Linked DNA regions of Rattus norvegicus. The protein of the gene in region 1 interacts with the protein of each later gene in a pairwise test. Links are inferred from orthologs where the notes say so. Each region holds a gene or a part of one and is shown in the gene's direction. Other genes may lie near its edges. The genes, in order: Zbtb43 and Psmd3.

Region 1 (3,811 bases):
ACAACCAGATAGAAAACCTGCCTTTGTCTTCTCAGAAATCCTTAAGGAGCTAACGTACATGATCCCAAGAGCGACTCAGCCGCTCAGCCGCAGTGAGCGTTTCCTAGTGCTAAAAGAGCAAATCTGTCATTTTCCTGACTTGACTGTAGCACCATCTCCCTCAGTTCTTCCCGGACTCAAGTCCAGTGGTCACCTATTGTGTCTGTACATGTGCACACGTGCGAGCTTGTATGTGGAAGCCAGGAGTCATCCTTCTGTCCTCTGCTCTTTTTTTGAACTTGGAGCTAACTAGATTGTCTAGACTAGTTAGCCAAGAGCTGGGGTGAGGGAATCCTCCTGTCTTCACCCTGAAGCATTAGGGATTGCAGCCATTAGCTACCATACCCACCCTTTTACCGGCCCTGGGGAACCAAGCACTTGTCCCATACTTATGGGGCTGTGACCTAGTTCATTCCTGTCAAAGAACCTTTGCATGGGCATTTCTGTCTTCCTACAATTCAGATCTTCTCTCTCTTTTTCCTTTTCTTTTGGAGTATACATGAGGGTGGAGCTTAGAGAACTGTACGTGCTAAGCATACACTCTACCCCCAGCCACACCCCACCCTCCCACAATCCTGTTGTTCCTTCCTCTAGTTTTGGTAAATGTGGGAGTCCAGGGGTTACGTTGAGTTACAAGATTCGTGCTTGTTTTAGTTAGAAATGGTTTGCTTTGCTCAGAGGACTTGTACGCTTGGAGATACGTCCTCAGTAGATTCTGGCTCCTTGCCCACAGTCAGGGTAAAATGGAGAGTTGCTATGTGGGTAGGGGGTGGCTCTTACTTTTGGGACCCTCAGCTCCTACAGCTCCTACAGTCTCAGGGGATGGACGCCCATGGATGAGTGCTCAGAGGCAAAGGGACTTGCTGGAACTTGGGAACTTGCTTTGGTGTTTTTAGTACTGGGGGGAGGCTGGAGTTGGTATTAACTTTTCTTTCTCTTGCAGCACTAAACAAGATTGGTGATGAAATGGAGCCTGGAACAAACTCTTTTCAAGTAGAGTTTCCAGATTTTTCCAGCACCATTCTGCAGAAACTAAACCAGCAGCGCCAGCAAGGACAGTTATGTGACGTCTCCATTGTTGTCCAAGGCCACATTTTCCAGGCACACAAAGCCGTTCTTGCTGCCAGTTCACCCTACTTTTGTGACCAAGTACTCCTGAAAAACAGTAGGAGAATTGTTTTGCCTGATGTGATGAACCCAAGAGTGTTTGAGAACATTCTTTTATTTAGTTACACAGGACGCCTTGTAATGCCTGCTCCAGAAATTGTTAGTTACTTAACAGCAGCCAGCTTCCTCCAGATGTGGCATGTGGTGGACAAGTGCACCGAGGTTCTGGAGGGAAACCCCACAGTCTTGTGTCAGAAGCTAAACCATGGCAGTGACCACCAGTCCCCCAGCAGCAGTAACTACAATGGCCTGGCCGAGAGCTTTGAGCTGGGCTCTGGGGGCCACACTGATTTCCCCAAAGCCCAGGAGCTGAGGGATGGCGAAAACGAAGAGGAGAGCACCAAAGACGAGCTGTCATCTCAGGTCACCGAGCACGAGTATCTGCCCAGTAACTCGTCCACGGAGCATGACCGCCTGAGCACCGAGATGGCCAGCCAGGACGGGGAGGAGGGGACCAACGACAGCACAGAGTTCCACTACACCCGGCCTCTGTATAGCAAGCCCAGCATCATGCCTCACAGGCGCTGGATCCATGTGAAGCCTGAGCGCCTGGAACAGCCTTGGGATGGCATGGATGTGCACGCAGCCTACGATGAGCACCAGGTCTCCGAGTCCGTCAACACCATGCAGACAGATCACTCGGCCCAGCCTTCGGGAGCGGAGGAGGAGTTCCAGATTGTGGAGAAGAAAGTGGAAGTAGAGTTCGACGAGCATGCAGAGGGCAGTAACTACGACGAGCAGGTGGACTTCTACGGCTCCTCCATGGAGGAGTTCTCTGGAGAAAAGTTGGGGGGCGGTCTAATTGGACACAAACAGGAGACTGCCCTTGCAGCAGGCTACAGTGAGAACATTGAGATGGTGATGGGGATAAAAGAAGAGGCGTCCCACTTAGGATTCTCAGCCACCGACAAGCTGTATCCTTGTCAGTGTGGGAAAAGTTTCACGCACAAAAGTCAGCGAGATCGACACATGAGCATGCACCTCGGTCTGCGCCCGTATGGCTGCAGTGTCTGTGGTAAGAAATTCAAAATGAAGCACCATCTCGTGGGCCACATGAAAATTCATACCGGCATAAAGCCCTACGAGTGTAATATCTGTGCAAAGAGATTTATGTGGAGGGACAGTTTCCACAGGCATGTGACTTCTTGTACCAAGTCCTATGAAGCTGCAAAGGCTGGGCAGAATACGACTGAGGCTAACTAAAAATAGGGTCTGGCCCTTGAGTGGCATGCACAAAAATAAACTATGGTAATTAATGCAAATCTGGGCACAGATGATGCGTGCCACTTGCTATTATGAGAGAGGCTTAAAAAAAAAGGAAGATATTTCTGAAAGACCAGCTCTAAGTAGGCCAATTAAAAGATTTAATTTCTCAAATCTGTATGTTCCCATCCTGGCCTAGAATGGATGATGGGGATAAGTTCACCCAGTGCCCAGCTGGCAAGACAGCCCTTCCAGCCAGCAGTGGTTAAGGCAGGGGACTGGATGGCAGACTCTCACACCAGTCCTGCCCAGGTGGCAGCGGCCGGCTGTCACCATTGTCCCGGGTCTTGTTACATTTGTTCTCCTGGTAGCTTCAGGGCTTCTGGGCTTTGCTTTGGTAGCTGCGTCACTGGATGCTGCTCCCCTCAAGGCTACAGCGAGGACTCCTGGGCTGAGCTACGAGCAGAGCTCTGTTTGTTCTATTTTCGTATGTTCTAAAGGTTCTAGTTAAAGCCATGGTGACATTAGACGGGGCTTCTGAGTCCGAATCAGGAGACAGTGTCACCGTGCTGCAGGCTCTGGAGAAGGCACAGTTTTATGTTTGTGTTTGGTTAAGTCTTCAGGTGCCAGAGACAGAGCTTTCTAGTTGGTGTGTTGTCCTAAGCTTCCCTCAGTTAATGGCAGGAGATGACCGGTTTGCAGTGACACACGACAGTGCTGGCTAGTAGTGGCCTGTGGCTCCCTGCCTTAGATCACGGTGCTTCCCAACAAGGCCAGCCAGGGACCACAGCTCATGAGACTAAGCCAGAATGTGTGGCTAAGAGTTCCCTGTGAGCAAGACACTTATAACAGAAGGCTTGAGAAAAGAATCTTAAAAACACTGGCGTGGGGAGTGCTGTTGTAGAGGGTGGGCTAGGCAGTATTGTCAGCTTTGTGAGAGCTGGAACATGGCTTCCAAGGGGATGGGAGCCTACATTAAGCAACATCATCTAGAGACTCTGTTCCCCAGTCACAGAGAAAGCCGCGTTTACAAGTCCCAATAGTTTATACACACATGTGCAGGCGCACACACACCCACACTCACACTTCACCACCACCATCTCCTCACTCCCGCAAGGACGAGGCTGCCCTTGAGGTCTTTTCTGCATGGTCAGACGTCTTAGGTTGGAAAGAAAGCTTGTGTTCAGAAAGCTTTTAAGCGTGTGACAGTTCTGAGGCTCTTGCTGGGTAGGGGTCTAGTGCTCTTTCCATCACTGGAATAATACACTCGGAGCAAAGCAACTTAGGGAGGAAAGGGTTTGTATTAGCTCACACTACCATCATGGAGGAAACCACAGCAGGAACGGGAATGTTGACAGTCCAGACAGTTGGCCAGTCATGCCCACAGGCCACTCCCTCAGTG
Region 2 (4,439 bases), on another chromosome or scaffold:
TCAATGGTAGAGCGCTTGCCTAGCAAGCGCAAGGCCCTGGGTTTGGTCCCCAGCTCAAAAAAAAAAAAAAAGAACAAAAAAAAAAAAAAATGAAACAAGAGCTGGAGAGATGGCTCAGTGGTTAAGAGCACTGACTGCTCTTCCAGAGGTCCTGAGTTCAAATCCCAGCATCCACAACCATCTGTAATGGGATCTGATAGCCTCTTCTGGTGTGTCTGAAAACAGCTACAGTGTACTTATATATAATAAATAAATCCTTTTTTTTAAAGAAGCTTATGTTTAAAAAACAAAACAAAGCAGTTATGGGGAAGGGAGAATGAGAACACACACTTTAGCACGCTTGTGAGGTCAGAGAAAACCATGTGGGACTCAGGTCTCTCCTTCTACTATGGGATCCACGGATCAAACTTGTGTCTTCATACTTGGCAGCAAGCACCTTTACTCCAACCTTTAGTCATCTCACCACTCAACTTTTTTTTTTTTGAGACAGAGTCTTTTTATGTAGTTCTGTCTGTCCTGGAACTTGCTAGGTAGACCAGGCTGACCTTGAACTCAGAGATCTGCCTCCTTAGTGCTGAGATTAAAGTTGTGTGGCCCTCCATTACATTCCTGAGCTGGTGTTTGTCTGCTTGCTTGCTTGCTTGCTTGCTTGCTTGCTTGCTTGCTTGCTTGCTTGATTTTTCGAGAAACAGTTTCCCTGTGTATCCCTGTTTGTCCTGGAACTCACTCTGTAAACCAGGTTGAGCCTCAAACTCACAGAAACCCACCTGTCTCTGCTTCCTGAGTGCTGGGATAAAAGGTGTGCACCATCACGCTGGGCCTGTTGGGTGTTTCAACAGTCCTATATGTACTGGCCCTGAGCAGTATACAACGTGGACTCCTCTTATTACATTTGACTAATTCTACACAAATACACACTACCCCACACTCCCAAGCTACAGAGATGGTATGTCTTAAATTCAAAACTAGCCAAAAAATTTGACAAGGAAGTTCGGATGCCCTAGGGGTTGAGCTCAGTTTATCGTAAGCCCAACAGCCTAACTACACCTCCACAGGCTACTTTTCTTTCTGGTGCTGGAAGCATCTGGCGGGCGTTGAGAGCACGAGCCTGGCGGATTTCATTGGGGACCTGACCCGTGAAAACTGGGAGAGTTTGACAGGGGGGAGACCGCCCGGCAACTCATGACGTCATCCTCATCTGCGCTCTGATAGGTCCTACCTACTTACGTTTTAGCGTCTGTTGTAACCCAGTTTGAAGTCTAAAGGGACCTCTCGCGGACATTCGAAGATATGCACTCGAGAGGAAGATAAAATCACCACTCTCAAGGCCCACAAATTCCTGTAGGCTCCTTCCACTTCCTAGAAGATCCGTCTTCATCGATTCCTGCAGACTCCTCCCACTTCCTAGAAGATCCGCCTTCATCTTGCACCTCGGCTGTTGATTTCTTTTCCCTTCCTGGACTCGGCCATCTGCTTGTCCTACCTGGCATTTCCCAGAAGCCCCAGCGCCGGGAAGGAGTTTGCAGCTGCTCGGTCATCGTGCGGCCCGACGCGAGCCCGCGCTGGTGTGCAGGCCCGGCTCTGTGCCTGGTCTCTGGTGTGAGGGTTTACGCGAGGCCCCTGCTTCGGTCCCCGGACTAGGCCGCAACCCCGGGCTCCATGAAGCAGGAGGGCTCGGCGCGGCGCCGAGGCGCCGACAAGGCAAAGCCGCCGCCGGGAGGGGAACAAGAACCGCCGCCGCCGGCCCCCCAGGATGTGGAGATGAAAGAGGAGGCAGCAGCTGGGAGCGGCTCCGCGGGGGAAGGAGACGGCAAGGCAGCTGCGACCGAGCACTCCCAGCGAGAGTTGGACACTGTCACCTTAGAAGGTACGGGATCCCAGGTCGGGGTCGTGCCGCGATCACTGGTGACAGCGGCCACGGTGATTCGACTTCTCCCTGGGACCTCTGCGTAACCTCCACCTACCTCGGTTCCGTGTGTTTGGTCAGTGGGGCTGGGGTCAGAAGTGCCCGTTCAACCACACTGACTCTCTGGACCCCAGCCCATGACCGAACCAGTTCTCCAGTCTGCGGACTGTTCTCCTCACACTCCCTCGCCTCATCTGGGGTTGCATTTTAGTTTCGCTGAGTTTTTTCTTCAGTCCTTCCCACTGATCTACTCCATCCGACCGATTCTAGCGCCTGTTATTGATATGTAGAAATCAGCATCTGTATTTGTGTCTAAAGAAGCCAGGGTAACATTACATTGGCCCCTTAGCTTAAGAGTTAAAAAAAACAGAAAAGGTTCTGTAGCTCTAGCCTCCTTTAGTAAACTCCCTCGGAGAGCCATTTCTACCTTGTATTCCTTACTTCTGTAATTGAAGCATCTAAACTGTCCCGGTGCACCTTTTCTCTCTCTCAAAGTTCTTACCCCTCCTTTCCTAAAGAGTTCAAGCACATATACACTTTTACTTCTGAATCAACCTCCCCACCCCTTTGTTTTTTAGTTTATAATGCTTACCTGTGACCCCAACTACTATAAACCAACACCATCCTCATCTTCTTTCTTCCAGAGGCCCATTCTCAGGTTCCTATTGTCCCCTTGTCCCGTTTAAGTTGCTGTTTTGCTTTTTCCACTTGGTATATCTTGTCCATGTTTGAATTGGGTGCGGTGAGACGTCGGGAGTGAGGGGGTCTTCTGTAGCTCGTTCTTCTCTCTCTGTCTGCCTTTCTGTGTCTGTCTCCTTCTTTCAACTGCATGAGAAACTACTTTAAAACATGGAGATAGGCCATGTTATGCCCTGAGTGGTACTTTTGAAGATGTAGGTATGGACCGCATCAACTCCATTCTAAAGTTGGCAACAAGGTCTGTATACAGTAAAGGTCTTCGTACCTGAAATAAAAGTTGCCAGTGGCAAGAGATGTCACTCGGCAGCGCCTGAGTGTGTGTGCATGTGGTAAACATTTCATCGTGGTTTGTATTCACTGTAGAAATTTTGGAACAGGTGAGAATTTTAAAATAACAGGGAGAAAATTTCGACTAGGGTTAACATGTTTCCCTGTGTACTTTCAAACTGTTCCATAATTGAAATCACTCAAGTACATAGTTTGGATCAGGGTATTAGTATGTAAAGATATTGTCTTTTTTTTTGTCTTCATTTAATACGTCCATAAACATAGGGGTCAATTTATTCAAGAGGCATTTGTTGACTACTTAGTATAGTGATGGAGATTTTAAACTCCAGAATCTGTTACCTTGCTTGTGCAGGTGAGTTAATCGCATTCGCTGTTTCCTTGGGTTATTGTGAACATGGTATAAATGCATGGTGAGCCCTCCACACATAGTCGCTGTAACTGTAATAATTACTATTACCCATTGTTAAGTGGGAAATGTAACCAAGAGACGGTCAGTTAATTGCATTCTCTTAATTGCTGCACATTTAAAGTTTTTTTTAAGTAGTTTTGGAGTCATCACTATTCCAAGGTTTTTAATCTACTTTTGTAATTACTTAAATGTAGCTTCCAGGAATTTATATACCTAAGTCAAAAAGGGTAAACACATCTAAATTTAAATTTGTGTGTATACGAGTGTGAGTATTTTAGCTTCGTGGTTGTAAACGTGTGTAGTGTCCACAAAGGCCAGAAGAGGTCATCTGATCCTCTGGAACTGTAGTTAGGGACAGGTGTGAGCCACCATGTGGGTGCTGGGAGTGGGACCTCTGCACAGAGCAGCTAGTGCTCTTAACCACTGAGCCATCTCCGCAGGCCCCAGTTCTAAAGTCTTTTATGTTGTCCTAAAATCTGATCTACAGTATAAAGGTTATTTTCCCTACTGTTTATTATTAGCAATAAATATTGCTAATTTACTAGTATAAAATGTTTCCGTTTCAGATCTTTGAATGCTACTGAAGTACATTTCTGTCTCTCAGCGCTTTGCTGTCCCTGGTTATGCGCACGCCCACTTTTGTTTTGAAGTTATAGCAGTAATTTCTCTCACCCAGTTACATCAATTCTTTGTGAAATGAGATGTGAATCTGGTCATATTGTTCCACGTTTCTTTTCAGAAGTCTTTTTTGTAGTTACATTTCCAGTGTGTCTGTCTCTGAGATTTCTCCATTATTTACAAAGTCCATGTTTTAAGCTCTAGTGACTCTCCCCGTGTTTCTTCTACTTTGCCTCTCAACTTTTCTAGGCCTTTCTGCTATCCTCTACCCTGTCCCCTGCCCAGCCAGCTTTCTCCTTGTTTGCTGGTTATGTCTGAAAATTGGTGTGCCGCATCCCTAAGTATTGGTTAGCCCTATTGGGCTGGGAGGAGTAAATGCCCAAGCTACCCCTTGGTAAGACACTCTGTGGAAATGTTCCTCAGAGTGCTGGAGAAACCTGAGGAATTGCAGGTAACATCTTTTTCTCTCTGGTCCTCTGCAGACATCAAAGAGCATGTGAGACAGCTAGAGAAGGCTGT

The links.
Region 2: the proteins of Zbtb43 (region 1) and Psmd3 interact in binary tests that used the Homo sapiens proteins (3 or more experiments, as listed by UniProt). The two-hybrid records come from large-scale screens. The link is inferred for Rattus norvegicus from reciprocal best matches to the Homo sapiens genes ZBTB43 and PSMD3.

What each region holds. Positions count from the first base shown.
Region 1 is NC_086021.1:37,144,217-37,148,027, reverse strand, and holds part of Zbtb43 (zinc finger and BTB domain-containing protein 43), read left to right. Parts: intron 1-982; coding exon 983-2,409; 3' UTR 2,410-3,811. UniProt on the Homo sapiens protein: May be involved in transcriptional regulation.
Region 2 is NC_086028.1:84,138,423-84,142,861, forward strand, and holds the start of Psmd3 (26S proteasome non-ATPase regulatory subunit 3), read left to right. Parts: upstream 1-1,515; 5' UTR 1,516-1,659; coding exon 1,660-1,867; intron 1,868-4,402; coding exon 4,403-4,439.